4 linked regions of the Alligator mississippiensis genome follow. The protein of the gene in region 2 purifies or fractionates together with the protein of the main gene of each other region. This does not show direct contact. Links are inferred from orthologs where the notes say so. Each region holds a gene or a part of one and is shown on either strand. Other genes may lie near its edges. The genes, in order: PPP6C, PPP6R1, ANKRD44 and ANKRD28.

What was found.
Region 1: the proteins of PPP6R1 (region 2) and PPP6C purify together in Homo sapiens (affinity purification with mass spectrometry; 11 studies listed by BioGRID and IntAct, with this or other methods). This does not show direct contact. The link is inferred for Alligator mississippiensis from reciprocal best matches to the Homo sapiens genes PPP6R1 and PPP6C.
Region 3: the proteins of PPP6R1 (region 2) and ANKRD44 purify together in Homo sapiens (co-immunoprecipitation; 5 studies listed by BioGRID and IntAct, counting the BioPlex papers as one, with this or other methods). This does not show direct contact. The link is inferred for Alligator mississippiensis from reciprocal best matches to the Homo sapiens genes PPP6R1 and ANKRD44.
Region 4: the proteins of PPP6R1 (region 2) and ANKRD28 purify together in Homo sapiens (co-immunoprecipitation; 4 studies listed by BioGRID and IntAct, with this or other methods). This does not show direct contact. The link is inferred for Alligator mississippiensis from reciprocal best matches to the Homo sapiens genes PPP6R1 and ANKRD28.

Annotation. Positions count from the first base shown.
Region 1 is NC_081835.1:66,441,433-66,448,553, forward strand, and holds the start of PPP6C (serine/threonine-protein phosphatase 6 catalytic subunit), read right to left. Parts: upstream 3,004-7,121; 5' UTR 2,949-3,003; coding exon 2,874-2,948; intron 2,196-2,873; coding exon 2,100-2,195; intron 1,466-2,099; coding exon 1,400-1,465; intron 846-1,399; coding exon 704-845; intron 1-703. Other genes in the region: RABEPK (rab9 effector protein with kelch motifs), read left to right, coding at 3,227-3,318, 3,408-3,556, 3,723-3,875, 4,210-4,371, 4,965-5,114, 5,394-5,543, 5,851-6,161.
Region 2 is NC_081828.1:39,350,234-39,357,910, reverse strand, and holds the start of PPP6R1 (serine/threonine-protein phosphatase 6 regulatory subunit 1), read right to left. Parts: upstream 3,005-7,677; 5' UTR 2,996-3,004; coding exon 2,828-2,995; intron 1-2,827. Other genes in the region: HSPBP1 (hsp70-binding protein 1), read right to left, coding at 5,204-5,281, 5,973-6,084, 6,415-6,511, 6,846-7,001, 7,345-7,569. UniProt on the Homo sapiens protein: Regulatory subunit of protein phosphatase 6 (PP6). May function as a scaffolding PP6 subunit. Involved in the PP6-mediated dephosphorylation of NFKBIE opposing its degradation in response to TNF-alpha.
Region 3 is NC_081827.1:192,927,776-192,935,703, forward strand, and holds the start of ANKRD44 (serine/threonine-protein phosphatase 6 regulatory ankyrin repeat subunit B), read left to right. Parts: upstream 1-4,918; 5' UTR 4,919-4,991; coding exon 4,992-5,027; intron 5,028-7,928. UniProt on the Homo sapiens protein: Putative regulatory subunit of protein phosphatase 6 (PP6) that may be involved in the recognition of phosphoprotein substrates.
Region 4 is NC_081828.1:153,582,260-153,589,403, forward strand, and holds the start of ANKRD28 (serine/threonine-protein phosphatase 6 regulatory ankyrin repeat subunit A), read left to right. Parts: upstream 1-4,138; 5' UTR 4,139-5,220; coding exon 5,221-5,337; intron 5,338-6,482; coding exon 6,483-6,566; intron 6,567-7,144. UniProt on the Homo sapiens protein: Regulatory subunit of protein phosphatase 6 (PP6) that may be involved in the recognition of phosphoprotein substrates. Involved in the PP6-mediated dephosphorylation of NFKBIE opposing its degradation in response to TNF-alpha.

The sequences.
Region 1 (7,121 bases), on a different chromosome or scaffold from region 2:
GCAGCTGAATTACATAATATCCTTTTCCTGCCCAAATTGAGAGGAGACACAGCCTGCAGTAGAGCTGTAATGAACTAGGTTTAAAACAGCTCTAGGCAACCTGTACCTAGCAAGCAAGGATTCCTTTGCCATCTTAGGCCACTATGTCAAAATTCAGACCCATTTGTCCTTGCTGTCACATGCATCCCGTTATGGACTACACATTGTCCGAAACAGCTATTAGTGCCTGAAGGCTCTGCTGCAGGCTCCGTCACTTCAGCAACTGAGATGTCACTTCTAGGCGCATCTACTCCCTCAATATTTAAGTGGCGGCTCTGTTGCTTAATAGTGGTGAAACATCTATCCCTTAATGTCCATTTACTGCCCTACTCACAGCTTACCAGGTAAATCATTTTTGTTACTATGACAACACAGAATAAAACCAGGTCTAATGAGAATCTCAATATTAATTTTGCTTTCTAATAGGACTTTACAAGATACCAGAGTACTTCAAATATTACGCCTCGGCATTCTCAAGTGATTAACATACAACGTATCCGTGAAATTGGAATAAAGCTGAAGACCTGCTTAAAATTTTATGGAAGATCAGGGACTGGACCCCATTTCCACAACCCACTCTGCCAACAGGAAAGCTATATACACTAGCAGGAAAAAAAAAAATCAGATGTCCCTAAGGAAGATCTGCCTTGTTAACCAGTCTTACCATAAAATCCGTACACTTGTGTTATCTGCCTGCTTTCATGATTGCCCCGTAAAAGCGTGATACGATCAGGCCATTTAGCTTTTAGTGCAAGAAGGTAGGTGAAAGTCTCGAGACTATAGTAACCTCTGTCTACGAAGTCACCCTGTAAATTGAAAGTACGAATTTATAAGTAGAAAGCAAGTCAACTTGTCACATAGTAACGCATCTATTTCTAATGCCTCAATTTGCCAAAAAGTCTGACTCGGAATGTCAGTCTTCATCTCTGTTTTATCAACTCTGAAGACTACTTTAATTCCCAGCTAAGATTTAGATTATTCAAAATTTCACAGCTGAAAACAAATATTCCCCCTATGCTCCTATATTTCGGGTCATATAAGGTTGCACATGTTCTAAGACACATTCAGGATGTCCTTTTTGTTGGTATCATGAACTACAGGTTTTATTTAGCAAATGCTGTAATTTATTTCCTTTTGGGAGAGCCAGCACTGAATATTTCAAATTCTGCTGGACAAAGCAAATGCTACATGTTACCAGAAAAGAGGGTGAACAGAGTGGAAAGCTTTTTCACATGCCTAAGATGTTTACAAGCAAGAATTGTAAATGAAAATGAAAACCAAAAGAGAGCTGAAATCCCCTTTAGATCAGTATATTTTTAAAAAATGATTACCTTTTGCGTGATCAACAATTTTTACATACCATAAATATATAGTTTGTGTCAGGAACCTGACCTCCAGTTCTGAATAATTCACATAAGTCATAAAACTGTAAAGAAGAATTTGCACACATTAAAAATCTGCGTTAGCAGCAGGCTAACACGCTTTCAACAACAGTCATCACTTGGAAATAGGAAAGCACAAGATAGGAGTTGCCTGAAACAAAGTTCTACGAAGGCTGATAAACAGTCATGACCGGAACGGGGAGGCTGCCCTCTGTGCACTTTGTCAGTGTTAAAACCCCCCCAAAAACCAGCTGATTTTACTGGGCACAAACTGCTGTACAGCTGCAAATCCTGAATCAATCCTGCAAGCATAACATCCGAACCCAAATGGAGCTCCACCCTTTTGCGACGAGGCCCCGTTAGTACTGAACAGCTTCAGTCTAAACACCACCGCTCTCCAGCGGGTCGCTGGGTGGGAGGATTGCTCGGGAACGCTTCTGGGAGGGGCTCCCTTACTACGCACAGAGAAACGCTGAGAAAAATACGAGATATTTTTGCATTTCACTCCAACAGCAGAGCACACCAAATGCTCGAAGTCACTGAATGTCCATTAGCTAAACCTGGCTCCCCACCATACACCTCAGCTGCAGTTTGCCATCAGTCCTGGAAGAACGGTGGCTTCCTGCTCTCGGCGGGTCCGGCAGGAAACACGCACGAAACGCGGCACTGAAACGTTACCTGCCCGTGTATATCTCCACAGACCGTAACTGGCGTCGATACCGGCTGCACATTGGATTCTTCCAACAGTAGGTCACACACGTAATCGCATAAGCGCTACAGGGGGGAAAAAGAGTTTGTATGGATCGGTACGTCAGTGCACCCGCATTGTAGTAACAAATTAATTCACTGAAGCATTTGTGCTGTGCCTGTAAGCTGTAGATTCAGCTCCAAATCTCCACACAAAAATCAATCAATCAATCAATCAATTAAATTTTTAACATAACTGGACATAAATATATGACAAAGCTACAGGGGGAGCCCCCAAGCAGCCCGGACCTCTGCCAGCTGGCAAACAGCAAGCCACGGTTTCCCACGCTTTTCTCCTTTAAAGGAGAATCCATTTTTAAAGTCCGTTTGCAGCCCTTTAATACGTTCTTGCAACCCATCTCGTCCGGGCCTGCTCCGAGCAGGACCAGCCCAGCTCCACCGTCCCAGCCGGGGCGTTGTCTGGTTGGGTCGTGCTCAACCTCTGGCCCCGATGCACAAATGCTGCCCGTGCAGCCACGGTGCCCATCCTGCCCGTGCCCCACGGGCCAGCACGTTCGGGGCGCGGGAATGGTGGCCACTACCGTGTCCCCTTTCCCTTCCCCCACCACACACACACACACACACACACGGTGGGGGTCTTGCCCCAGGTGCCGGATGTGGCCCCCGGGCCCGATGCAGCTGGCTGGGCCCCGCCCCGGCGGCCCCCCCAGCCGCAAAGGCTGTGACAGGGCGAGGGCGCCTCACCTTGAGGTCGTTCTCGGGCAGGTACTTGCAGAGCCGCGCGATCTCCACGTACTTGTCCAGGTCCAGCGGCGCCATCTTGGAAGAGCGGCTCCGGGGCGCCGGAAGCGGGGCCCGGCACTTCCGGGGAGCGCTAAAATCCCGCCCCCACCCCCCCGTCGGCTCCTCTCGCAGAGGCCGGAAGTGGGGGGACTTCCGGAGCGAGCGTCGGCACAGCTGAGCGGCCGGCAGTGCCGGAAGCGGAAGTCGCTCGTCTCCCTCCACAGACTTCCGGTGCGCGTGAGGCGCGGTTGGGTTGGCTCGCCTCCCAGCCTGCTCCGCGGGGCACGCTGGGAAGTGTAGTCTTCCTGTCAGCGATGGGGCGGGCCGGGCGCCAGGCCCCTCGCTCGCCCAGGCCCATGCGGCTGCCGCTGCTGGAGCCCGGGGCGGCGCCCCGCCGGGCCGCCTGGTGAGTGCTCCCCGCCCCCGCGTCCCGCCGCGCCCCGCCCCGCCCCGCCCCGCCCTGCATCCCCTGACGCGCCCCGCGTGCCCTTGCAGGTACGCCCTGGCCCCGCGCGGCGACGGCCCCTGCGCCCGCGTCGGACACGGCTGCTGCTACTGGGCCCGGCCCGAGGCCCGCGGCGTCGTCGTGGTCGGGGGCGCCGACCCCGCCAACAGCTTCTCCGACGCCCGCCTCCTGGAGCTGGGTGAGCCGGGGGGGGGCGGGGCGCGGCCTAGCTGCTCACGAGGCCGACCGGATTTTTGTTGAAAATAACATTAAAAAAAAAAAAAAATTAAAAATAAAAAAAAAAAAAAATGAAATAGCGACTGGAACGGTTTGCCACAACACCAGCCTTGTGCGTTGCCTGGCAGGTGCACTCAGGTGGGCCCCGCCGCGCTGGACGGGGCTCCTGGCCCGGTACGAGCACGCCACCTTCGTCCCAGCCGGCCGCCCGCGCAGCCTGTGGGTGTTCGGCGGGGCCGACCAGGCGGGGAACAGGAGCAGCGTGCAGGTGCTGAATGCAGGTGAGCGCCCGGCCGCGCGGGAAGCGGATGGACGGTGTTGTGGGAACGCAGCCTGCTTCTAGACCGGTGCGTCGAGCAACCCTTGATCCGCTAAGCGTCGGCCTCCGGATTAAAACATCCTTGATTTACTTTGCTTTTTTTTAACCCACTCTGCTGCTCATGGCTAAATTCATAGACGCGAGGGCTGGAAGGGCCCTCGCGGGATCATCTGCCCCGGGGGGGGGAAGTCGGCTGGGTCGGGTCACCCCAGCAAGATGAGCATCCGGGGGTTAGACGGTCTTCTGATTTCCAGGTGAAACTTATTCGCAGCCAATGACGATTTTATTTTAATCAGAATTGGGAACCTGGGAAAGTCCTGAGGTGACTGGCACTCGGCCGCTCCCAAGGACGTTTCATTCATCGTCGGCTGTTGTAGGAGACTGCTTGTACGTGTTTGGAGGAGGAGATAAAGGAGCGGAGCCTGTTAAAGATCAACGGCTTCATGTTTTTGATACAGGTAACTGCAAGGATCCGAAGCTCTAAACGCGTTCGTCGTCTGTTTGGAGTGAATGTGCGTTACGCGGAGCTCAGGAACTAGATGCACAAATAAGACGTGCACGTTCAAATGCAGTGTGTTATTGGAAGCCTGATTTGTGGCCAGGAGTCCGTGTTAGGCTTTGTCTTCTGGTTCCCAAGTTGAATCTACACACAGGAAGCGTATATTTGTTCTTTCACCAACGTTGGCCTCTAGCTTAAAGTTCTTCTCCTGCCCTGGTGTTCCACCCCCCGCCCCCATACCTTTGCAAACAGCAGTCATATCCCCTCTCAGCTTTCACTTTTTGCTATGCTAAACAAGCCAACCTTTTTTTGTCTTTATAAGACAGGCTTTCCCTTTTCCCGATCACCCCCCAGCGCCCTTCCTTGTGCCTCCTTCAGCTAGAATTCACCCTTGATCCTGTGACCAAAACTGTACACGGTATTCCAGTTGAGCTCTCAACAGTATCACCTCTAGTGAAAATGCCTCTCTTGGAAACCCTGCTAGTTTAATGGCTTTACAGAACTTCAGCAAGTATCTTCCTAATGCCCGTATATGTTCCCATGTCTGTCTAGTCACTCTGACTTGGTCACAGCCAGAAGTGCACGGGGATCCTCCTGCATCTCGGCAAGGGCATGCAGTTGTTGCAGTTGGGAGCAGGCTCTTCTTGCACGGGGGGCTAGCTGGTGAAAAATTTTATGACGATCTCTTTTGCTTGGATACAAGTAAGTATGTGAGGCAGCTGTGTCTGCTTTATTAAATACTATGATGTAAATCACTGAACCGACCATTGCATAAGTGCAGTAAGTGGCTGGCTGCAGATGCGAGGGACTTTTTTTTCATTGTCATGCTTTCTGCATCTGTCTGAGCAGGCATACAATATGGTAAACGCACAGACGACTGCAGTCTGTAAGCAAACAATTTCTATTGGCATGCCCAAAGTGATGACAGTGTTTGCACAGATCTCATCAATATAGCTATTGATTTGTTTTTTCCTATTACAGGTGATATGAAGTGGGAAAAGGTACCAGCGACTGGCGATGTCCCAGGAGGACGGGCAGCACACTCAGCTGCTGCCTTTAAGGACCATTTTTACATTTTTGGTGGAGTAGACCCAACTGGGGCACTGGATACAATGTACAGATATCACATAGGTGGGCATTTTTTCCTTCACCTATACAAAGGTGTCCGTACTTAAGGAAGACATTAACCTCTTTGATAGGATTTACTACATTGGTCCTAGATTCCCTTGATCTCCTGTAGTTTTAATTCATGTATAATTTAACTGAAATCATTTGTATTATGTCAGTGTGGAACAGGAGTAATACCATAGTCTCTTGGGTCTAGCTACCTACTTTTGGGGGGAGAATTTGCATACTGGCTTATAATTTTGATGCCCCTGTCCTTTGTGAAGTTGTGGGCTGATTCCACAGTGAACTGTCTCTTTCTCTTTGGCTGCAGAAAAACAGCATTGGACACTGCTAGAATTTGATTCCCCCGTGCCCCCTGGAAGGCTGGACCATTCCATGTGCATAATTCCATGGCAAGTGTGTAACAGTGTGGAGAACAATGTTTCGGAAGCTGCAACAAACAGAGACAAATCCGAGAAGGAAGCAGCTGTTACAGTTGCTGAAGAAGGTGACCCAAGTCAGAACAAACAAAGTGGAAAAGGAAATGTAGAAGACACACTTGTGCATCTGTTCTTTGTGTTTGGGGGGATGGATACTCAAGGGGAAATTTACAGGGACTGTCTTGTATGTCTAGTTGAGTAATGCAGGGTTCACTGCTTGTATAGACCCATTGCCCTTTTTGTATGTTTAACTAGTAACACAGCTCCAATAAACAGGACTGCTGCAAGCTGACAGCATTGTGCTCAGTACACCTTGTTTAGAAAGTGCTCTGGCTAGAGGTCTTGAGTGATGATCACATTACTTCACCTGACTCAGATTCTCAAAACACCCCCCCCCCCCAAGTCTTGAGATAACAACTACATCCTCTAACAGGTGCTGCAGCTGTTTTCCATGTCCTTGCTAAACTCTGAACTCTGCCTCCTGTGAACAGGATTAGCCATAGAGCATGATCTGCAGTAGATAAACCCAGTCCCTTATTTTCACCCTTTCCCTGCAGCTTTTTATGTTGGTTTCTTGTCTTGAGGGTTTGCCTTCATGTAGAATTTTACCAACCTGGTTGTGTGTGGGGATGGCACTAGTAAGAGTGCTAAACTGGGGCCAGATATGCTTTAGATGTAGGGTAGGAGGATCTTGTACTGAGGAAATAATACATGGAGCAGCATTGCTCTTGTTCCTTTGAGGTGAGTACAAGCCATACAGGTTTCTAAAAAGCAAGACCAGCCTGTAGTGTTAAGCATAACTAAGCAGCAAATAAGACATCTAACTTTAGAAGTTGTTAGCTGTATAGAGATAAATAAAGTCTCTCTACTTTTAAGTAAGAGGCAAAAAGACCCTCACAGATGCACACCACAGATATGCAATACAGAAGTTACTGCTTTGACAGGCCATGGAAGCATTAGGTAGCAGTACAAATTAAGCCCTACATTTGTTTTCACAAGATCAACTTAAGGCTAGAATACTAAGCTAGCATGTTTGCACATATTCAGAAGTGAGCTTTACAGTGTTCCCCAAAACCTGCTAGATTGGCCAGTATTTTACATGCAAAGTGAGTGTGATGTATAATGGTGGGGGGGGGAAATAATATTAAATAAAGTTAAGGCA
Region 2 (7,677 bases):
TAAGTCTAGGGACCCCATCCCATGAGATGCTAAAGAACCTCCCTCTCCAGTTCAGACTTGGGACTATTACATCAGGGTCCTGCACACAGCACCCCTGCAGGCTGCAATGGGGACCTCCATTCTGCCAGGGAGCCCCCTAGGATCATGGCCCCCCACTTCACAGTGATGCCTTCCCAAACTAGAGGCCCCCCTCACACCAGGCAAAACACCAGCTCCGACCCAACCTCTAGCCTGCTGGGCACCGCCCAGATATACAACCGGAGCTGGTGCTTGGCTTAAACTGAGACAGCCCAGGAGGGGCCCAGAGTCCCACAGCTGGATCAGGCCATGGCCCAGAGGCAGGTCTGGATCTGATCTCAACCCCTGCAATCCCCAGGCTTCTGCGGGGTTATCATAAGGAGTGTCATGAAGGTGACGAGTAGTGCCAGAGTCCTGAGCCCAGTATGAGGACATGGAACCTTACCCCTTCCATAGTCAGGTTCCAGCAAGTCATGCCTGGGGACAGCTCCTCTGAGCTGGGAGGAGGAGGAAGGCAGGGCAGCAAAAATGCTCCTTAGCCCCGTCAAGTCCCAGCTGCTGGCTGAGCAGGTCCCCAGCCTCCCATCTCCCCACCCCCCTGCACCCAGGCAGGCAGTGCTGTGAGCTGAGCAGAGAACGGAAGCTACAGGAAATGGGTTTGCAAAGACAGTTGAGCAGCAGTTTTGCGGAGAGCTGAGGAGAGGGCAGGGCCTTCTCCTCTCTCTCAGATCTCTGAGCTGCCCCCCTAACATGGGGGCAACCATCTGCCCCTGCCTTAACACTCTGAGGTAGGCAATGTCCTTTAGCGGGTGTCTAATTGGGGTGGGTCTCACACCCCTTGGAGAATGGGGGAGCTCTGGGCAGCTCACTGACTCCCACCCCCCTCCCCACATAGACACACCCAATCCCCAACCAGACTGGGTCTCTAGCAGTGCCCCCTTTCATACCAGGCCAGGCAGGCTGTCCCCAGGCAGTACATGGCACAGCCAGGGCCCTCCAGTCCCAGCACAGTCCCCACCCAACATAGCCAGCAGAGTCCAGCACCCCTAGTAACACATCTCTTCCCTGCCCACTGGAGACCCTAAAGAGGCTCATTGGAGGCACAGAAGCCTTCCCCTCTGCACTTCCTGTGGGGCAGATCCATCCCCATCAGTACAGCTGCTGGACCAGAAAGTGGACTTCTTGTCCACAGAGGAAAACTAAGGCAGAGAGAATTCCCTAACTTCCTCCACCCAGGGGTTGCCATGCAAGTCAGCAGCAAGATCTGACCTTGAGACTCCTAGGCTGTACTCTTAGACCTCCCTCTGTACTCCATTCCCTCCCTTGATCAGGGCCAGCACTCCCCAGGCAAGGAAGGCTCCTGGCTCATGCCTCACCCCCTAGCTAAAGGTTGGGGACAGCTCCCTATACACTCAATGGGTCAGTACCCTGCTTCCAGCCCCCTCCTAGACAGGGCACTTCTCCATCACCTGGATGCAAAACCTCCCCAAGCCCACACCATGTCCAGCAGCATAACAGTCACAGGCTTTACCAGGCTCAGCTGGCTGGTAGCACCATGAGAGAGGCCCAGGAAAAACCAGACCATCTGCCAATGCTGCCTCACCTCTGGAGGGGCTGGCTGGGTCCTGCCTACCCCTCTGGACAGCTGTCCTGCTGGGCACAGGCAGCCCGGGGGTACAGATGCCAGAAGCTGCCTGCAGGTCACAGTCACTGCTGCCCCTCCCCCCCAAGCCTCTCACCAACAGATGTCAATGCCTGTTCACACACACACCAAGCCCTGCCTGCTCCCCCAGGCCCCCGTCCTTTCTGGTTAAGGAGTACAATGGTGCTGGCACCCCCCTTTCAGAGGTTGAGAAACTGAGGCATGCTACAGAGATCTGCCCCTCCAAATAAAGCAGAAAAGCAACAGCAGAGAACCCCTACCTCCCCCTATTTTACCCCACTCTAAGCCACTAACCCTAGTTCCCTTCCAGGCCCAAGCATCCTGCCTGCCAGTCCCTGACTGCTCTAACCCACCAGGCCCTCCTTTCTCCCAGGGCTAGAATAGTGCCCAGGTACCCTGGCTCCCAACCTGCCCCTAGGAGGGCAGCTCTCCGAGGGGTGGCAGGACCCAGGCAGCCCCTTCCAGTGGGCGGACAAGGATAATCAGACAGGATACTCTGTCCTGCTTTCCCTGCCAGTGCTCCCAGACAGCGAAGCTGGCTCCAGCCCTCTGCTCTAACCTGCCGCCACCCCCATCCCCCCTTGCTGGATCAACGAGCAGAGCACTTGAACCCTGAAACCTAAACCCCTTGCACCCCCTACCCCCTCCCAACAAAGGCAACTTCCAGCTGGGGGGGGGCCAGGGGCTAATCCTGGGGCTGCACCCCCTATGAAGCTGCCTCCCAGGCAAGGGGGGTCAGGGACCTAGCCCTGCCCTAGGGCTGCCCCCAGTGAGCCAGCCCCCACCAGGGTGGAGCAAGGCCCAGCCTATGCTCTGAGGCTGACCCCCCGCCCCTCAGCTAAGTGGGGAGGGGCTGCCCCATGCCCTGGAGCAGTCCCCAATGCAGCCCCCCCAAGCAGAGGTGGGGGCTGAGCTGTGCGCCCCCCCCTCCAAGGGCAGCAGGAGCAGCCCATGGGGGAGGAGGGCTGCGGGTAGGGACACAGGGACCCGCCCCCACCCCGAGGCGAGGGCACCCCCCATGGGTGGGGGTGCCTGCGAGTCTCCCAGGCTGGGCCCCCGAGTGAGAGCCCAGCCCAGGCCCCTCAGGCAGGGTGGAAGGCCCCGGGGGGGGGCGTAACATGGCGGCGACCGAGAGCGGAAGCTTACCGGGCCCCTCTGGAGCTCCTGGCTCCGCCGCGATCCCACAATGCCCTGCGCCCAGAACCAGTGGCCGCTCTGCCTCCCTGCCAAACCCCCTCCCCCGGAGCAGCGCGCATGCGCCGGCCAACCACTTCTCTCGGGAAGGATCCGGGTCGTAGGCGGAGGAATGCGCATGCGGCGGCAGGGTGGCCCCACCTCCCCGCGCGCATGCGCACCTGTCTCTCCGGCCCGTGTCCAAGAGCCGCGCATATGTACTTTCCCGCCCCCAACTCTTCCGGGCCGGTAGTGCCTACTAGGCGTGCGCATGTGCGGGTTTTACTCCTCCCGCCCAACGAAGCAACGCATGCGCAAATGGTCTTGCAGGTGGCCTCAGGAAATCATGCATGCGCCTTTTCACCACGTACATGCGCACTCAGGCTCTGGTCCCGGTGCCCTTCATTGAGCACTAGCCAATCGCGGACCTGCCTTCCCCTGCGCCGGGTCTCCTGGCACTGCGCATGCCCACTTATGTCCCACATGCTACCCCGCACGGGCGTGCGCGATAATTGCTGCTTGCTCTTTAAAGAATTTGCGAAGAGCTCTGAAATTGGAAATGTATACTTAAAAGCATCATCGTGCAAGTCTAACGGCCTGGTTTGGCGTGGCGTCACAGCTAAGTGACATCATCCCTCCCTCTATGACGTCACCATGCTATCTCACCTGATATCAGCTCAGTGAAGTAATTAGAGCACTGACATCATTACTACAGGAATGACAGCTGCTACCTCAGGCATGGCACTCCTGCCTTATGAATTACTGAATGCACCACCACTGCCCTGAGTGTTGTGACATCATCACTAATCATGACATCACAGCCATGCTGTCATTGCTCAGAACATCCTCACTGTACTACAATCTTCCATTCAGGACATGACTTTTCCAGTGAGCCTGTGCTATACGTGTGTAACGTCCTCACTCTTCCTGAGCTGATTACATCAGCTGCTCCATCTGTGACATCATTCTGTGATACCCAAAGCACCCCCACTCCCCCAATGAGCACTGGGCGCACAGATCTGGGTGCCATGAAGATCTTTGTAATAAATGCCTGAGGCAGGCCTCTCCCAGCCTACCCTCTCCCTAGCAAGAGGTGCAGCAGGGGATATTCAAGAGCATCATGGCAGCTGTCTGTATGGCACCCCAGGTCAGATCCTGGCTGAGGGCAGCTCACTGTGAAACTGCTACCGACTTCCAGGCCCTGGGGAGCCCTTGCTTTGAGGCAGAGGCAATGATGGGAGCCCCAGGGTTCTCCACAAGATGGAGCCACTTGCCACTGGGCTGGGAGCCAAGCTGAGACCCAGTAACTCATACCACAGAATAAATGTGAGGTAGGGGCAGAGCAACACCACCTAAAAGGGACCAGCCCTTGCCCCATCCCCACCCCCAGAGCCAGCCAGAGCCCCTGCCTTGGAGGGAAGTGGGGGCAGCAACCCAGAGGGGAAAATCCCCTGTCTCATTCTCTGCCCCCAGTCCATGTGCCCCCCATACCAATCATTTTCTTCCCCCTGAACAGCTCTGAAGTCCCAGTGATGTCCTTGTGGCCTACAGCATCCATGGAGGGCAGAAAAGCAATCACTGAAACCAGAAACTTTATTAGAAAACCACTGGCAACAAGCAGAGAACAGATGAACAGGTAGAGGGGGAAGAGGGCTGCTGGGGAATCCCCAGGACTTGAAAGGTGGGACCCCTCCCATCAATATGGCTGCCTCACTTCCTCACCCCCACAAGGATAGCATGGCAAGGAATAGAGCTGCTTTGCCCAGTTCTCTGAACTCACACGTCATCTTCCTTCAAGGTGGGATGACTTCAAGACTTAAAAGGTGATGTCAGAGAGGGGCTGGTTCCCCCAGTGAAAGGTAAAGCCTCCTGCCCCACTCCAAGCTGGCCTGGAGGCAGATGAAATATGATGCCCCCTGAAGTGGAAAGCTCCCCTTCCTCAGCCAGTCCCAGTATAAGTCAGAGGTTAACAACATGCAGCTGGATCTTGCTAGCAGAATGAGACCTGACTCAGCATCAGAGATGGGAGGGGGAAAGAAGGAAGAAAGGGGCTGCTGGGATCTGGATAAAGAGTGGGCGGTCTGCCTGAGGGCTAGGGGTAGTGGAGGAGGGGAAGGACTGTGAGGGCAGGGGTTGGGAAGCAGTAGATTTGTGTGGAGGGGACCATGTGCCAGGTGCCACCCCCTCATTAGGGTAATAAGCCACACCCACCCCAGCAGAGAGCTCTGGTCCAGCCTGGCCCCTTGGCAGGTTCTGGTGTCTCATGCTGCCATGAAGGGGCAGGAGCTGGGGGCTGCATGCTGGGAGGGTAGGGGGCTCCCCTGCTGAGCTGGGGGAGGGCGGGGGATGTCACCGATCCATGCTGCTCTCCTCAGGTGGGGTCTGGAAGCATATTCGTAGCAGCCGCTCACAGAACTCCAGCTCCTCCTGTGGGGAGAGCAAGGGGTTAAATACACACTATGCTGCCACCTACTCCTCCTATTTAGCTCATCAGGGATGCTCTGATCTCTTATCAACCAGCATGGAAAGATAAGCAGGGTTGGCTGGGTTACGACTTGGATGGGAGACTCAAAGGTGCAGGGCAGGAGGCACCCGCCTTTCACAGCTACTGCTGGCCCCAGTGCCCCAGGGCAGCACTAAGGGGCACCACCTTGTTGTGGGCAGGGCAGGGCAGGGCAGAGCAGGGAGCCAGGGCACAGCTTGGGGAGGGAATTCCAGTGGTATTCTCTCTGTCCCTCCCTATTGCCAGGCTAGTGAAGATGGTGTCCCCTAGTACCAGAGAAAGAGTAGGGCTCATAACACCCCCTAGTGCCAGATGAGGAACTGGGGCATTTTCCATACTCTCTACCACCAGCAAGTGGCAGAACACCAACTCCCTAGTGCCAAGGGCACAGGCGAGTCTCAGCATAGGGTTAAGGGGACACAGGGTGGCCCCCCATTAGGGCCAGGCTGAGGAAGAGAGACCCCCACCCTCTTTGCCCTGAGGTAGGGGGAAGAAGCATGGTGGTACCCCCTTGTGCAGAGAAGGGGCTGAGCTGGAGTGTGGCAGCCCCAAGGTACCTAGATCTTACCATTCTGACCAAGAGACTCCTTTCCTTTCCCCACTTTGGACCCATACCTGAAACTCCTCCTGATCCTGCAGCAGTTGGCAGCGAGCCCGCAGCAGCTCCTCTAGCCCCAGCTGGGGCTCCCGACACTCCCATACACCCTGAGGGAAGTCTGTCACCAGGCTACAGTGCAGGGGGGTGTGGATGGGGGAGTCAGGCCCAGTACACAACCTACTGCCATTCTCCCCCACCCTGCACCATCTTCCAGCAAAGAGAATCCAGGAGTCCAGGCTGTCAGCCTTTAACCTGCTAGGCCTCACTCCCCTCCCAGAGCTGGGAAATAACTCAGGTGACCCAATTCCTAGCCCCTGGCCCTAACCCACCAGACTCACTCCTTCCCAAGCTGGGATAGAATCCAGGAGTCCTGATTTCCATGTTCCAGCCCTAACCCACCAGATTCCCTTCCCAGAGCTGGGATACACCCCAGGATTCCAGGCCCCTTCCCCATCTCACCTGCAGAGGGCACCCAAAACGTGCTCATGGAAGGAGCTGTGCTCAGAGTGGATTAGGGCCACCAGCTGCTGAACCATCCCCATGGAGCACAGGGTCTCTGCAGAGAGGATGGGCAGTAGTCAGGGACATCAGCATCCCTTTAGTGTTGAGCTGGGAGGATTGAGGGTGCATCCCTAGTGCTGGGTCGAAGGGGAAGGGGCACTGCCCAGGGAATGGAAGGTGTGCCACCCTAACACCAGGCTGGGGAGAAGAGGCACAGACCGGAGGAGGGGGGGGGGGGGGGGGGGGGGGGGGGGGGGGGGGGGGGGGCATAGCATCAAACTCAGGGATGGAGCCAGGGAAGTCTGGGTTGCACGGCACAGTCAGAGGCAGATAATAGTGCTAGTGTGGTAAACAGGGTTCCCAGTTTTTCCTCACCCCTGCTCCCTCACCTTTGTGCTCGGGGTGATCCAGGAGCAGGTTCTGTAGGAGGAAGGCCGATTTCACCTTAAGCTTCTGCACAGGACTCTGCATCGCCCGCATTAGCACAGAGAAGCCGTCCAGCCTCAGGAACTGTAGCAGCCCAGCCTCCTGGGCACGCACCAGGCCTGCCATGTGGGGAAAGAGGGGCAGAAACTCCATCAGCAAGGGCTGGATGGACTCTCCCCCGCCACTTCCCTTGCCTACATTACAAAGCCCATGCTGTATCCCCACCCCTGAGCCTGCCAGTGCCCCCTAGAAGGAAAAATGCCTCTGCCCCATCCCCACCTCTAAGTCTGCCAGTACCCCTGAGCTCCACGGCCTGTGCTCTTTGGACAGCAAAGGGCCTTGCCTTCTTCCCATCCACTGAGCTAGCTAGTGCCCCCTTTCAGAGAGGCAGCACCCCTTGAAGGGGAAAATGCTCCTGTCCCATTCCACTACCCAGACTCTGCCCCCGGCCAGTAGACTCACAGGAGATGGCAAAGAGTGCCTTGATGCGCACCATCTCGCCAGGGTCATGGTCCAGCAGGCGCAGCAGCTTCCGCATGCAGCCCAGTGCCAGGGCCTGCTCCTGCACTGTAGGCACGTTCTGGCTGCAGGTGCCCACTAAGTGGGCAGCACGCCACCGGAGCTCCGGGTCCGGGTGCTCCAGGTACTGATGGGCCAGCAGCCGCATCCCATCTAGCTTGCAGAAATCTAAGGGGGAAGTACACATAAGGGTGACAACATGGTCTACAACAGGAGTGCTCGATCTTTCAGCCCTGTGGGCCAGATAAGTGGTACAGGGCCCATCTGTAAGCTGCA
Region 3 (7,928 bases), on a different chromosome or scaffold from region 2:
ATAAAAACCTGTTTCCCACTGCCTCCCCCCATCCCCTGAACACAGTCATTCAAGAGGAGAGCAATTAGAGGGGAGCAAAATCTGTGAAAGTACTTCAGAGTGCTGTAAAACATATTTGGAAATGCAAGTATTTGAAGCATGTGGGGGAAAACTCTTTAAAATATGAGCGAACTAAGGAGCAACCTAGCAATATGCTTGAAGTATCCAAAAAACATCTTGGAAACATCGTAGCAGTTCACTTCATGCCTGCATTAGTAAAAAGTCATGCCATCTATAAAGCACATTTAATTACAACCAAAAAGAAGGAAACTCTGTAACCAGAACTAATATATAACCAAAAGGAGAAGTAGTCTATTCATAGCTATTGCTGTATGAGAATATATGTATTTAATGTGACACTGAAGGCGACCTTATAATTTTGATTAATAGGGGCATCTCTGGAAAAGTAAACCCGTGTGACAGGAATAGATAAACACTGACAAAATCAATACTGCTGCGAAATAATCACCTACTTCACTTCACTGCATTATCTTTTTAGTAGAAGAAATAAGAACCTGCAAACATCAAAGTCACAACTTCAGCAGTTTGATTTGGCACAAATAGGAAAAATGAAGGTTCAGTATACATGTAATCCTTTTCACTCAAAGGACCAAATGATATTTCACTGTAGCAAATGCTACATCTTGCAAGATGTAGCAAGATGGGAACTGAACATCCTCTAAGTCTCTGCAAGACTTTGTGAGGATCCTTAAAACTCCTTGCTGCCCATGAGTTAAAAAGGCAGACTAACCGAGAAATCCCAGATAGGATTATCCGATCAAGACAAAATATTCAATGCATGTTACCTTTCCTGTGAGATAATGTGCTAACGCAGGGGTCTCAAATCTGTGGCCTGCAGGCGAAATCCAACCTGCAAATCCATTTCACCGAGCTTCTGGGGCTCGGAGGGAGGGGGGGTAGGAATTTAGGGGCAGGGTGTACAGGGATGGGGCCTGTAACAGTTGGTGAAGATCAAGAACATCATTGGTTCAGGTCTTTCAACATCCATCAGCAGCCCTCACTCATCTGCACACAAGCCCTCACTCATCTTACACAAGTTGCATTCTGTGACTGTCAGGCACTGAATAGAGGAGTACTTTCACAGATTCTCAGAAGTTTAGGGCTGGAAGGGACCTCTTGAGATCATTGGATCCAGCCCCCCTGCTCTGGGCAGGTAAGACTGCTGGGGTCAAATAACCCCAGCAAGGTGTGTGTCTAGGCTCCTTTTGAAGATCTACAGGGCAGGTGCCTGCACCACCCCTGCTGGGAGTCTGTTCCAGAGTCTGTTCCAGAGTTTCCCATACCACCCACCAGCACTTCAGGTTCTTCATTCTGACTTCAGATCTCAACAATAATACCACAAAATATTTTGGGTATTTTCCTTTCTGAATGCAACACTTCCCCTTCATTCCATATGCCTTCGAATCTTCTACACACCCACACCTATACCCACTCCTGGCTAGGGTATCATTTACAATTCTGTGTTGTGCATTTCAGTATCACCTGGCAATAAAAGCAAACCCATCAAAGTACATATAAGCACAACAAAGCCAAGGGGGTTCCATGGGACTAACTGAAGGTAGATATTTACCTATATTCTTTTCAACAGCTCTTTCCAAACCATGGAGTATATCTTTCTCTCTCACTGTTTTAATTCATAAAAAGAATCATTATGTTTGTTAAGAGTGAATTCCATTCAAAGTGATAGGAAAATTAAAGCATATGTGGCAGCTCTTTATCTTCATCAAAGGCTTTGTAAATGAATATACAAAAAAATCATAACTAGTTTTTAGGCAGAGTAAATCCTGATGTTATGTCAAACAGACTATAAATATCTGTGTAGAATTTGAAAAGTAGGGTATTTTAAGCACCCCACCTTGAAAATATGTATCTTTATTCTGCTGCTGTTCTCCATGTTAAACAACTGATGCTAATTATAAAGGTCAAACATTTGCTGTAAAATTGGATATCTGATCCAAATGTGTTGTAGCAGAATGAAGCAAGACAAATGCCAAGCTGTCTTACCATGGATCTTTTCAATTTAAGAATTCGCAGCACTCTGTCCTCTTCTAATTGAAGCAAAAATGTCACCCATTACAGGATTTGAGGACTTCTTAAAATAAAATCTTCTCTGGTGATATCTATTAATTTTTCCCATGAGCAACAGACTCTGTCATGAATTCTGGCTTTAAGTTTTTTCTGGTATGCCTAGTAATAGTATTGTCATTTTTCTTCAGAAGAGCATTATTGGCTGTCGGTGTTTCTCAAATGAACACTAGCATTAATGTTGTTGTTATAATAATTAATATCTATAGTAGTAGTAGTACAGTAGTACCCAATCCAGCACTTCACTCTTCTGTTAAGCATTGTGTAAATGCATAGGCAGATGCAGCCCTTGCATTTTAATATATAGGATGACTTCTTTTAGTTTTATGCAGTGTCTGAGCTAAAGATCTTTATTATCACAATTTATTTAAAATATTTATTTCAAGATAAACATAACAACAAAATGCCTTTTTACAAACTCTGAGTGCTCTGGCATCTACTTGGAAAAAAATCTCCCTTGTCTGTTAAAAGTTAAAGGGGAAAAAATGCCACAAATTCTAATTCTGGTCCCACCCTGCCCTGCATCCCCTCCCCCACAAAAACAGGTGGTTAGTTAAAAAAGTGTGTGAAGTACAATTTTGTCACTGAAGAAAAACACACCTTGGCCACCAGAGTTCTCATTCATTATAATAGAATTCTGGGTGGTAACTAATGTACTGAAAATGGGTATCAGGTGTTTAGGCAGGTGAACACCGACTAATCCAAGTTGCTTTGTGTATGTCTCATTTGGCAGCAAAGTCAGGTTTCAGTAGAGCTTAAAGCTCTACTGAGGTTGTAAACTTTTGCTGCTGCTGTTTGGTATTTTAATGGAAATTAGACATGAAGAAATAAATACTTAATTTTTGTGTGCTTTCTTACTTCATAACAATTGACTGGCTTCTCAAAGCTGTTAGTGTAAGATGAGGCTGCAATGCCTGTTATGTACAAATTCCTATTTTTGTATACTTGAGTACAAGGTCATAGAATTGTTTTAAGCTACTCCTATTTTTCTGCTGGAAAAAGCACAAGTGATTACACCTGCTATGGGTTTATATAGCACAATATCTCCATAGTCATTATGCGGATAATTTTGTCATTGTGCATTGTGTACTTGTGCTGATGTTATGTTAGTTAGCTAACTTCCATGACAGAGCAATGAGTAGCTGTTGGTTCTGTTGTTTTATGATGATGTTTTAGCTATCTTTTCAAAACATATAGAGCCTTGCTGTCACGGCGGGGTCCTTCAGGAAGGACGTGGTCTCCTTAAGGCCCTCTCTCCATGCCAAGTCGGCCCAAGGGCACCCTCAAATTCTCGCCCGCCACATCTTCCTGGTAAATATAATAGGGAGGCTGCCTTGCGTCTCCTTGGGCATGTACACTCCTGGACCCCTCGTGGGTCTTATCCTGCACCCCTGGGTGTTTTGGGGCACCCTAGCCTTATGGGCTACGCGTGGCTTCTACCACCCCTAATACCATGCCCCAAGCCTCGCTGATGGGAAAGACGCTGGTATGTCTTTTTATAAATATATATTGCCCGTCTCTCGGGCCTCCTCTGCGTGCTCTTGCCCACTCTCTGGGCCTCCTTGTAATGTTGCCCCTCTCTGGGGCCTTCGCAATAGCTCCCCCGCTTGGGACCTGCTACACCCGTGCTGGGCTTCTCGGTAATGCCCCCTTCCTGGGGCTCTCCCTGCGCCCACACTCAGGCCTCTAAAATACCGCCCCGTCTGGGGCTCTCTGCGCCCACTCTGGGGACTTCCCAGCAATACCCCCTGACTCTCAGGCCCACCGCGCTGCTCTCCCCTTCTCTCAGGGCACACCGTGCTGCTACCCCCTCTCACCGGGGCAACCGCAGCACTCTACCCTGCTCTGGGGTTTGCCGCAGCACTAGCCGTTCTTCAGAGGCTCACTGCACCCGCACTGGGCCTCCTAATAATATTACCCCCTCTCTAGGGCTTGCTGTGCCTGTCCTGGGCTTCCTAATAACACTGCCCCCTCTCTCGGGGCTCGTTGTGCCTGCACTGGGCTTCCTAGTAATATTGCCCCCTCTCTGGGGCTCGTCGTGCCCGCACTGGGGCGTCTCAAAGCTGCCCCTCTCTGGGGCTGGGGTCTACGTACCCCGCACACAATGTCATCTTAACCCTATCAATGACACTTCAAAACCCAGTTTAAGATGAACCCGGATGAATGTAGCATCAGATTTAACTGATTTAGGTTATATTGGTTTATTGAACTTATGTCCCAGATCCCCTCCAGATTCAAGTTAACTCAGTCACCCAGCATCCCAGAATGCCTTGTACCTCCCTCACAAACCTCCCTTTACAGGGTGGGTGGGCTAGCCTTGACCAAAGCTGTTTGCTGCAGTGAGTAGGGAGATGTGCCCTAGCACTGCCCCCAGTGGCATATTGACAGGGGGATGGGGGGGCCATGCCCCTGGGCAGTGGTCTGGGAGGGGCACTGGCTGGGCCCTCTATGGGGTATCTGGTTCTGCCACCAGCATCTCCGGCTGGGGACAGGAATAGGGTGGGGAGGAGGGGGGTGCAAATGTAAATATTGGCCCCCAGGTGTCAGAGACCCACAGTATGTCACTGCACCCTCCAGCTTCTGGCCTGGGCCCCTGCGGGCATTTGGCTGCATCTCTGGAGTCAAAGGTGAATGTCTGCTCGCTTGCATATCTGTTCAGTGTGTGCAGCTTCGATTAACCTGCAAAGGTTGAATTGATTCTGCCGGGCTTTTTCGCTGTTTGTACTTAGCCAAAATGTCCATCTATTAAAACAGTAAAAACACATTTTTTATTGTTCCTTTGTGTTTTACCTTGGCAGCCACCACTGGTTCAAGCAATTTTCAGTGGTGATCCAGAGGAGATACGGATGTTGATCTACAAAACTGAGGATGTCAATGCTCTGGTAAGTGACTCTGTAAATGTATTTATATTGCAGTCCATGAGCAAAATAAGCTGTCCATGACTTTAACATTTATAAAAAAATTAAAACCAACACAATAAAAAATAGTTAGGAACTAGAGATTCATAGCTTAAATAGTAGTTTAAGTCAGTAATTAGGATTCTGTCTCCAGCATGTGGAAGTTATTTTTTTTAACTGTACACAATAATTACTTAAAATGTCCAGGTCAATCAGGGACAGTTTTCTCCAAGTCCCTGTTGTTGTGAATGAAGATAGCTGAAAGCAGCATATCGCGATTCTCTGTAGAATTTCCCTTTATAATGAGCCTGTGCAGATCAGGGGCTTTTCTTGAAGCTATGAATATACTTAAGATAATTTCACTGGAGCTTGCAAATGGCAGAAGTAAGGGAGTTTTAGCTTGGCCAGTGACATGCACACAGAGGAATTACTATACTGCAGATTTGCTTTATTTCTAGCCTGAACAATGGTAAGCTGCTGTAAACAACAGAGGTTAAGTATTTTCACAGTGGAAAATCTTAAACTGAACTGCCCTTTTTGCAGCAGCTTTTTGCCTTATGCTTTTCCCCTTCATGTTGAATTACAGTCAGGATGTTAAAATGAACAATTTTTGCTGGCATTTTGACTATAGTCTGTGAGCTCTGGAAGACATCGGGTGGGGGGGGGGAAAAAAAGAAGAGACAGAATACTGGTGTAGCTTAGCTGCTTTAAAACTGTTATCCTTTTCCTTTGTCTTTTCCATTTAACAACATAGTAATGATTTTATTCATAGTTAATTCTAGTGGTTTGCCTGATATAGCGCACTGCTTTGGGACTTCAACTTCTGTAGCCAATATTGTCCGAATGTCCAGTTGAGGGGAGGAAGCATTAGGGAGCAGTACTTGGGTCTAGTTAAATTGGACTCCATTTGACTTGCTGTGAAGTCAAGACTTGCTTTCAACTTGCACAGGAATCAGATCAGGCGCAGAGAGAGGGGGAAACAAGATTGGAGATCTGATCTCTTTGTAAATATCGGTTCTTGGGTCCTTTGCTAAAACCCTAAAACATGCTGATTTAATATATTGGCTTTTCCACATCCCCTGGATTTCCCACCCCGCCAATGATAAAAATTAAATTTTGCAACACGTGCCATTTCTAAGACGTTCTTTGTCCTGAACGTTTTAGCTCTTAAAAATGGCATTTGTTGTACAGATTAAGATGGTTGCATGCTTTCAGGTTCCGCTCTTGAAATGTTTTTATATCCCTTGGGCTCAAGGTTGCTGGGAAATGTTGCTATGGAGATGCACTCAATTGCTGGGTAAAACATTAAATGGGTTGTGTATACTTTAAATATTATGGTATTCACAACTAATGGAAGAAAGGTCATTGGACAGGAACATTTTTATGCAAAATCATGTTCCATATAATAAAAACCTTTCCAAGAATGTGTTGACCTAGCAGCAAACCTATCTTGAGCTAGAAAATTAAATGTTCTTTGGAGTAATTAAAAAGATCTTTGCCAAGATGCATTCAGAATCATTAATTTCAAGTATAATTTCAGGTGAATCACAAGCACTAGAAACATCACTATAAGAATGGGGATGGAAGAGTGCACATCTGTTACCTGCTGTAAGCTGGCTAGTCAAAGGGACTGCCTGTAATTCTCTTTAGGATGTTTTTAAATTACTTCCATGTTAGTGTTTGAGCAATGTTGGGCTACTTCCAGCCACTTGGTAGCAGTTGTTTCTTTGTTGATCATTTCTGATTAACTGGAATAATATTGACATTTGAAAGTGTAAATACAAAGTAAGAATAAAATGCAACTGCGTTCACAGTCAGCTGTGGAGTTTTTCTTAGCTTAAATGTCATGTTTCAGAGCCCATAGCAGAGAAGCTATTAATATAGCAGAACAAAATTGGATATGAGGAAACTATGAAAAGTAAGTGATACCTAACAATAGGAAACTGTGGCAAGGCTGTGTGAGAGTTGTTGTTTTCTAAGGAAAGAGAAAATTTAACTATGTGGGGAGGGTTAGTGGTGGGGTTGGGGAAGGGAGGGGAGACTTCATAGCTAGTCTCAAGATAGCAGGACAGATTTTGTTGCTTGGCAAAATAACTGAGAGCTCTTCCTGATCCTAGAGATGTCTCCAGAAATATTAAATAAAATGGCATGTTTATACCATCAAAGGATTGTTCTAGCCTATAGCTACTTCATGAACTATGCACCAACCATATGTAATGGAGCTGCCATGATGTAGTGTTGTGCCTGCATCAGTAAGCTCACTCTCTTCCCAAATGCTTTTTTGGTGTGCACAAAGGTATCCTGGTTTAGAGTGTAGTGTTCATTGTGCAGGTATGACACGTTTTAGGGCAGTGCTTTCTAATACAGTCCTTTTGTGTTGGCACTGACATACCTTAAGTTGCCGATGCTGCTGCTCTAATTGGGATTTTTATTTTGTATCCAAGTAGAAATTTGCATCTGTTTGGCTTAGAACCGTTTGTTTTAGTTCATTTTGCCAAGATAATGGTCACTCTGACCTCTCTGTGTTCCTACAACTTTGGAGGGAACAGGATGCCGCTTTTTACATACTGATGACAGTGATACTTCCTTTTATACAGTATGGTGGTACTTTATTTACTTTTCTTTCTTCATCCAGAGATGTTCTAGTCTATCTGCAGTCAATCTTCACTGGCCCACTGTCCAGGAAATTGGGATATTTGTTTGCATCTCTGCCCTTTAGTTTCACAGAGCAACATATAATGTACTGTTTGTTGATAGAGCTGGCTACAGACTAGCAATTTTTTACAGTTACTGTGTTTTTTCTAAATGTAAAAGGTAATTGTTTTTCTGTTTATCTTTTAAGATGGAGGAAGAGGGAGATGATTCTGAAGGATGTTTTAGTCCCCT
Region 4 (7,144 bases), about 110 Mb from region 2:
AACTTTAAAAAACCCCCAACAAGCTATATGTGAGAAATGCATAATTGCATTTGCAATCTTTGCAGTTAAAATACAGTTAATACTACCATTTTAAAAATTTAACAAATATGGAAAAATATGGTCAATAGCCATTACGGATGACTTTACTTAAGTAGCTTAAAAAAGGAGGCGTACACCCATTGGAAGGGAGGGACCATCACAAGAGAGGAGTATACCATGGTAGCTTGGGAATGTAGGGGGGTGGTCAGGAAGGCCAAGGTGGAAATGGAGCTGGGACTAGCGACCCAGATCAAGGACAACAAGAAATCCTTTTTCAAATATATAGGGGGGCAAAAGAAGGTGCCAAGTAACATGGGGCCTCTGCAGGACACGCTAGGAAATCTGGTCATCTCACCTGACAGTAGAGCTGACATATTCAACAATTTCTTTGCCTCCATATTTCTGAGGAGGGACCCGGATATCTCCCCCACTGGCACCCCCGAGGGCCCTGTGGGTGGCACACCCAGACCTAGGATTAATGAGGACATTGTCAGGGAACTTCTGGAGGAACTAGATGTATTTAAATCCGCAGGTCCTGATGATCTCCACCCCATGAGTCTTACCTCGGTCCTGGGGAAGCTTTTTGAAAGAATTATCCTGGCACATGTCCAGGAAGGGCCAGCAGGGGAGGTTATGCTCGGGGGCAACCAGCATGGGTTCATTAGGGGCAGGTCTTGTCAAACCAATCTGGTGTCCTTCTACAACCAGGTCACCAAGTCCTTGGATGCAGGTGTCGCAGTGGATATAGTCTTTCTGGACTTCAGGAAGGCCTTCATCATGGTCTCTCACCCCATTCTCAGTAAGAAACTAGGAGACTGGTGTTGATACCTACAAGGTCAGATGGGTCACTAACTGGCTGGAGGGCCACACCCAGAGGGTGGTGGTGGATGGCTCTTATTTGACCCGGAGGGATGTGGGCAGTGGGGTTCCCCAAGGCTCGGTCCTCAGGCCCACACTATTCAACATCTTCATCAGTGACTTGGGTGAGGGGGTAGAAAGCACCCTGTTCAAGTTCGCAGATGACACTAAGATGTGGGGGGAAGTGGGTACGCTAGAAGGAAGGAACAGGCTGCAAGCGGATCTACACAGGTTACAGGGATGGGCTGAAGAGAACAGAATGGGGTTCGACACTGACAAGTGCAGAGTACTGCACCTGGGGAGGAAGAACCAGCGGCACACATACAGGCTGGGGAACTCCCTTCTCGCCAGTGTTGAGACAGAAAAGGATCTTGGAGTCGTCATTGATGCCACAATGAACTTGGGCTGACAGTGTGGGGTCGCGGTCAGGAAGGCCAACCATACCTTGTCGTGCATCCACAGATGCATCTCAGGCAGGTCCAAGGAGGTGATCCTCCCCCTCTACGCAACACTGGTCAGGCCGCAGCTGGAGTACTGCATCCAGTTCTGGGTGCCACACTTTAGGAGCAATGTGGCCAATATGGAGAGGGTCCAAAGGAGGGCCACCCGCATGATCTGGGGTCAGTAGGACAGGCCCTACGAGGAGAGGCTGAGGGACCTGAACCTGTTCAGCCTCCAAAAGAGAAGGCTGAGAGGGGATCTAGTGGCAGTTTACAAACTAGTCAAGGGGGACCAGCAGGCATTGGGAGAGTCCCTGTTCCCCCAAGCAATCCCGGGAGTTACAAGAAACAACGGACACAAGCTAGCAGAGGGTAGTTTCAGGCTAGACGTTAGGAAGTGCTATTTCACTGTCAGGGCGGCTAGGACCTGGAACCAACTTCCAAAAGAAGTGGTGCTGGCTTCTACCCTGGGGGTCTTTAAAAGGAGGCTGGACAAACATCTGGCCGGGGTCGTTTGACCCCAGTACTCTTTCCTGCCATGGCAGGGGGTCGGACTAGATCATCTCCTCAGGTCCCTTCCTACCCTACCAACTATGAAGCTGTGCTGCTATAAAATTACTGTCAAAACATGCCCTTGTGTTTTTTTTAATAACTTGTTTTAGAGTTATAATGTTAAATTACCATTTTGCTTTTCCTTAAGCATGACGTCATACTCATAGCATTAAATAGACTAATTGGATTTCTTGCTGGATTCTTGATGTAGCTAGGTTTTGAATCATTTGTAGGAATTATAAACTGTAAGTTTCTAAGTCTGAGATCAAATTAAGCCTAGTTGTACAGTGTTTCCATCTAGCAAGTATATTAAATTATAATTTATAATTGTAATCTGCAGTTACTTCTTTTCTTTCTTTGTGTGCTTTCCTTACATATTTCTCAGTCTTTGAAGACTAATTTCATATATTATATGGGCCTGGCCAGTAGAGCTGTGGTGAACTATGTACTCATACGTAGAGCAAGAGGATGCTGGTGGTGTTTAAGTGAGTTTCTTGTTTCTTTTTTAGAGACAAATTGGTCACTTTTTTTCAGGAGATTATTTATAGACAGAAATCAGAAAAACCTTGTTTCCTGTACACACAATACTAAAAAAAAGCTTTCAGTGAGTATCATGTGTCATTGAAGATCCACTGACATTGCTTGGTGAACTTTTAAAAATAACCCATTCAAAAATAAAATTGCTATTATTCTGAAGCAATTTTTATAAAAACTTGTCCTTACAGGTAAATAAACAATGTTTATGTGGTACATATGTGAAGATTTGGTTACTGTGTTGAGCTCTTCCAAAGTTAGTTAGCCAGAAATCTGGGTTTTATTCTGCCAGGCTACCAATCCTGAGCTTTGAGCACCAAACTAAGGTAATATTTGAAAGTGTTTAAAAGCATGGCTTCCCTCAGAGTTCTTTCTAGGAAGTATAGGAAACTATTTGAGTATGTAGTGGTAAAGGCACTGTAGATAATTTTAAAATAATACCAAACTATGATATATATTTGCATCAAAGTCTGCTGTGAGAATAATATTCTGATTCTTAACATTCTAAAAGTATCTGAACTAGTTAAAATGCTTGAAACCTTCTCTGCCTGGGTTAGTTAATAGACCCAAGTCTATTAACTAACCTCTGCCTGGGTTAGTTAATAGACCCAAGTAACAATATTTTCTTAGGGTCATTGAGTTTTTCATTCTGTTCCCCATTTACAGATTGCAAATTTATCAGCAATTGAGAAACATCAAAAATGTCTCCATAATGCCTAGTATGAACAAAACCCCACTGTTTGTGTAACAGAAGCATTTCCAACAGTTTTGTGACACATGATGCATTTATATAATACACCCACAGATCAGTACACCTACTTTAAGCAGACTCAAGGCAAAATATAAATTCAACTTTTTGGATAGCTTTATTAGGTTTGCGAAGGGTAGATTATACTTGGTCTACTATTTTACAGGCTTCTGGTTTTTGAGACCTCTGTGCATTTGTGTTCTGTTGCAACAAAAATGGTTTTGGTAAGTAGTAGTTTTTTTTAGAGAGTTTTTTTCTTTTTCTTTTCATCTTTCTCATTTTAGCTCTTAGGACACTTATGCAAATAAATGTTCTTGATGTCTTCAAAGAGTTAAATGAGAATGGCTTTGCTGCTCTGTGCAGTGACATATGAAAGTAGTTAGAATGTTGGAATTGTTTACTTGCCTAAATTGTTAGACGGCACAGCCAGTACACCAGATTTCCTTGTGGCTTTTAGTGGAAAATATTAAACACACACTCTTTCTTCAGTTATAGAATTTTTACGTTTGAGCTGAATTAGTCATCAAACTGGTACAAACATTCCAAATGTGAAGACTGCCCAAAAGTCCTTTTTTTTTTTTTTTTGCTAGAGGAAGTTGCATTTGAGAGCAGTGGCTCAGTTCTCTGGTAAGTGTAACGTGAGCATTACTAGGCATTTCATCTTGCAGGTCTGCAGTCTGTGCTCTTTAGACTATTGCTCAGTTGGAATGCTTCTGTGGGTGTGATTTTTGTGCCGTTAATGTGTTCTTTAATGACCTATTGAGGCAGTAGCTTTGCATGAACTGCTCAACACAATCTAAAAATCACCAGCAAAAAAACTGATAAAAAGAACGTTGAACGCCGGAGGAAAATCCAATTGGCACAGAGACAGATGTTCGAATAAAGAAGTTGGCTCAAAGAAGATGCACGGAGTCTGATTTTTTTTTTTTTTTTTTTTTTTTTCTTTCCTCTCCTCTGAGTGAAGACTATAATGGGAACTGTATTCACATGGTGATCAAAAGAAACACTTGAGTGATGAACTGCTTTTTCAGAAGTCTAAGGCAGTAATCTGAACCCTTGTGCCTTGGTAGCTTGCTTGTTTTTGCTGAAGCAGTCTTCCTTAACAGCATTTCTGTCTAATGCCTTCCCTGTTGGAGCAGCCACAGCAACTGCCTGATTGAGGAAAAAATGAATTTTCTGCGTTGTTCGTGTCACTGATGGAATAAAGCTATCTACATTTCTGTCATTTGGGAAATCTGGATTAAACGGGCAGTATTATTCCAGGACTTCCATTGTCCCTTGTGGTCTGACTCATCGCATGTAAATGTACTGCAGCTTTGCTGTACATTGCAGAGATTTTTATTGCATGGGAAAGAATTGTCAACCTCTGAGCATCATGTTCTGAAGGACTGCTGAAAAATTCGTGTGGACTGTGTTTGACATTGACAAATGAAGTTGCCAAATTGCAAAATGATTAGAACCTGAACCATTAAGAACAGTTGTGTTTATTTTTCAGTCACCAGAAAGCCTGATACTGTTAATTGGAAACTGACCTTGTGGGACTGTGTAGCTGTGATCATCTCTGTCAGAGCAATTGTTCCTTGTTTCATTCTACACAGGATAGTGTCATGTCGTCTACAACAATGATTTTACTGTGTGGATAAATTTATGCTGTAGAAGTAGCGATATTAAGAAAAACATTTGCTGGTGAAAGGACGTAACAGAGATTTATTACAATGACATTTTTACTGTAATGTAGTTATACTGAAGACTATTTTTGATACATTTTCCACAAATTCAGTGTTGTAGTGTAGATGTTGGATGAAATCATATTTTGAAAAAAATACATTTTTTTTAAACAGGATCATTTGAGCACCCCAGGGTGTTAAATATAGAAAATGAAATATAAGGAAGTGCAACAGTGTCCTTTTTTAGTATTAAAACACCAGCAGTAGGTTCAGAACTTAAGTTTGTGAGTATATAGGCAGAAGAAAGTGTTTTCTGGGCTGCCTCGACTGCGATTTCTACAGTGCTGTTCTGAATATAGGTTTTTATTTTCAAACTGATCGAATGAGTCGAGTCTGTATTGTTGTTTTGGAGGAGGTAGAAGATGATTCTCCCACATTTATTTCCAAATTACCTCAGGAAAACCTATCTCTGCGTCCATCACCTTCTGGAAGTGTGTTGGTAAGACCTGTCTGTTTTGTTAAATGTTCAATGTTTGTAAGAGCGGCAAAGTTCCCATGATGCTTGTCAGAGGGTTTACATAAATATGCAAAGTAGTAGCTGGATTATTTTGTCACTGAACGAGCAGTTGTAATTAAAAATGTAAACTAGCTATGTTAAGCAGAGAGATGTTTGAAACTTACTTATGAAATTAAAACTTTCAAGGGCTCTTTTTTAAATGTAACTCCTTATTTGTGACACAGTTAACAAATGGGAGCTTTTTATTTTTAATAGCAGTATACAGTTTCTAGCAAGCCTGAGCAAATGACATTTGTGGTAAACATTTCCTCACTCCTCACTGGTGTATCTATTTAGTACCACTTTAGAAACTGATGTAACCATTATAATGCAGTAATAAGCTGTGTGTATTTTGAGAACTGGTACAGTAGATGATGTACTCTGAGCAATGTCAGTCACATACTAAAATAAAAAGTTAAATCAGATTGTAGATGAATGTAGCTGCTGCTACTTTGCAGAAATGTTCAGTGCTCTCTTAAAAAATATGAATTTTACAACAGAATTTTACTTTGGTTAACTGACTTGCTGTTTGATTCTGACATGATATGGTCTTAGAAGTTTGTGATGCTGGCTAGGAAATCCAGTTTTATATTTAGTAATAAATGTGTCTCTAATCCATGAGCATTTGTTACTATACCTTTCAGTTACTCTGTGCTTTCTTATCATATATCCAAATAGATATGAATTACTACTTCAACTTTAAGAATATCAGATATACTTGTTTCTGAATACTCTGTAATATGTTCTAGACTAATTATGTTTCTTTTGAACAAGGATTTTTTCAGTGCATTTCTTTTAGCTTGTCAGTAGACTTATAAAAACCTAGATGAATTTTTTTAAATGAATGGTTGATTGGTTTGTCCAAAATTAGTATGATGCATTTTTTCCTTGAGGGTTTATTTTGTTTTTGGCTTCTTCCAAGCCAACATTCGTAGTTTCTGTTGTCTCCCTTCACTACCTTGGGTATTGGAGGTATTTTAATTTGGTATTTTTAGTGGTGTGTTGTCATCAGAAAAATGTACTTGTAAAGTAAATATTGGAATGGAATGTATGTTTATATAAATTTAATTTATTGTCTTTCTTTTCAGCCACCGCTGGTTCAAGCGATATTTAATGGGGATCCTGATGAAGTTCGAGCACTAATATTTAAGAAAGAAGATGTTAACGTTCAGGTAAAAAGAAAAGTGTCTTTTACCAAGTACAGATTAATTTTGTTTTAGCACAGTCCCTTCCTGTATTTTACCTGTTCAAAACTGTTTATTTGGGTACCTTAATTTTACTAAAAGGAACGAGGCCTGTAAATAACATATAAGTACAGTAGTGATACTGCTGACGAGAGGAGCTAAAGAAATAAATATATTTAATGCAAAACTCATTTTACTAAATTTATTTAAGGAGAAAAGAATTTTTAAATGTTGGTTAACATTTAGGCTTTAGATTTCCAGTTCATTTGTACATAAACTGAACATTTGCTTGTTTATATTCAAGTATTAGAAATGGCAGGAAAGAAAATTCTAGGTTTATTATATTAGTTTTTAATCAAATAGTTGCACAATATTCAATTTGTATATCTTAGCTCAGGGGTGCTTTAAACATCTGGTCCTAGGAGGTGGATGAACCAGCCAATGGGGATTCTTGTGGGCTGGACCATCCACCTTCCTGGGCCAGATTTGGCCAATGAGGCTTGTCACTGTGGCTGCCAAGGAGTTAATGTTACTTGTCTCCCCCTTTCACTCCCTTTCATCTTTTC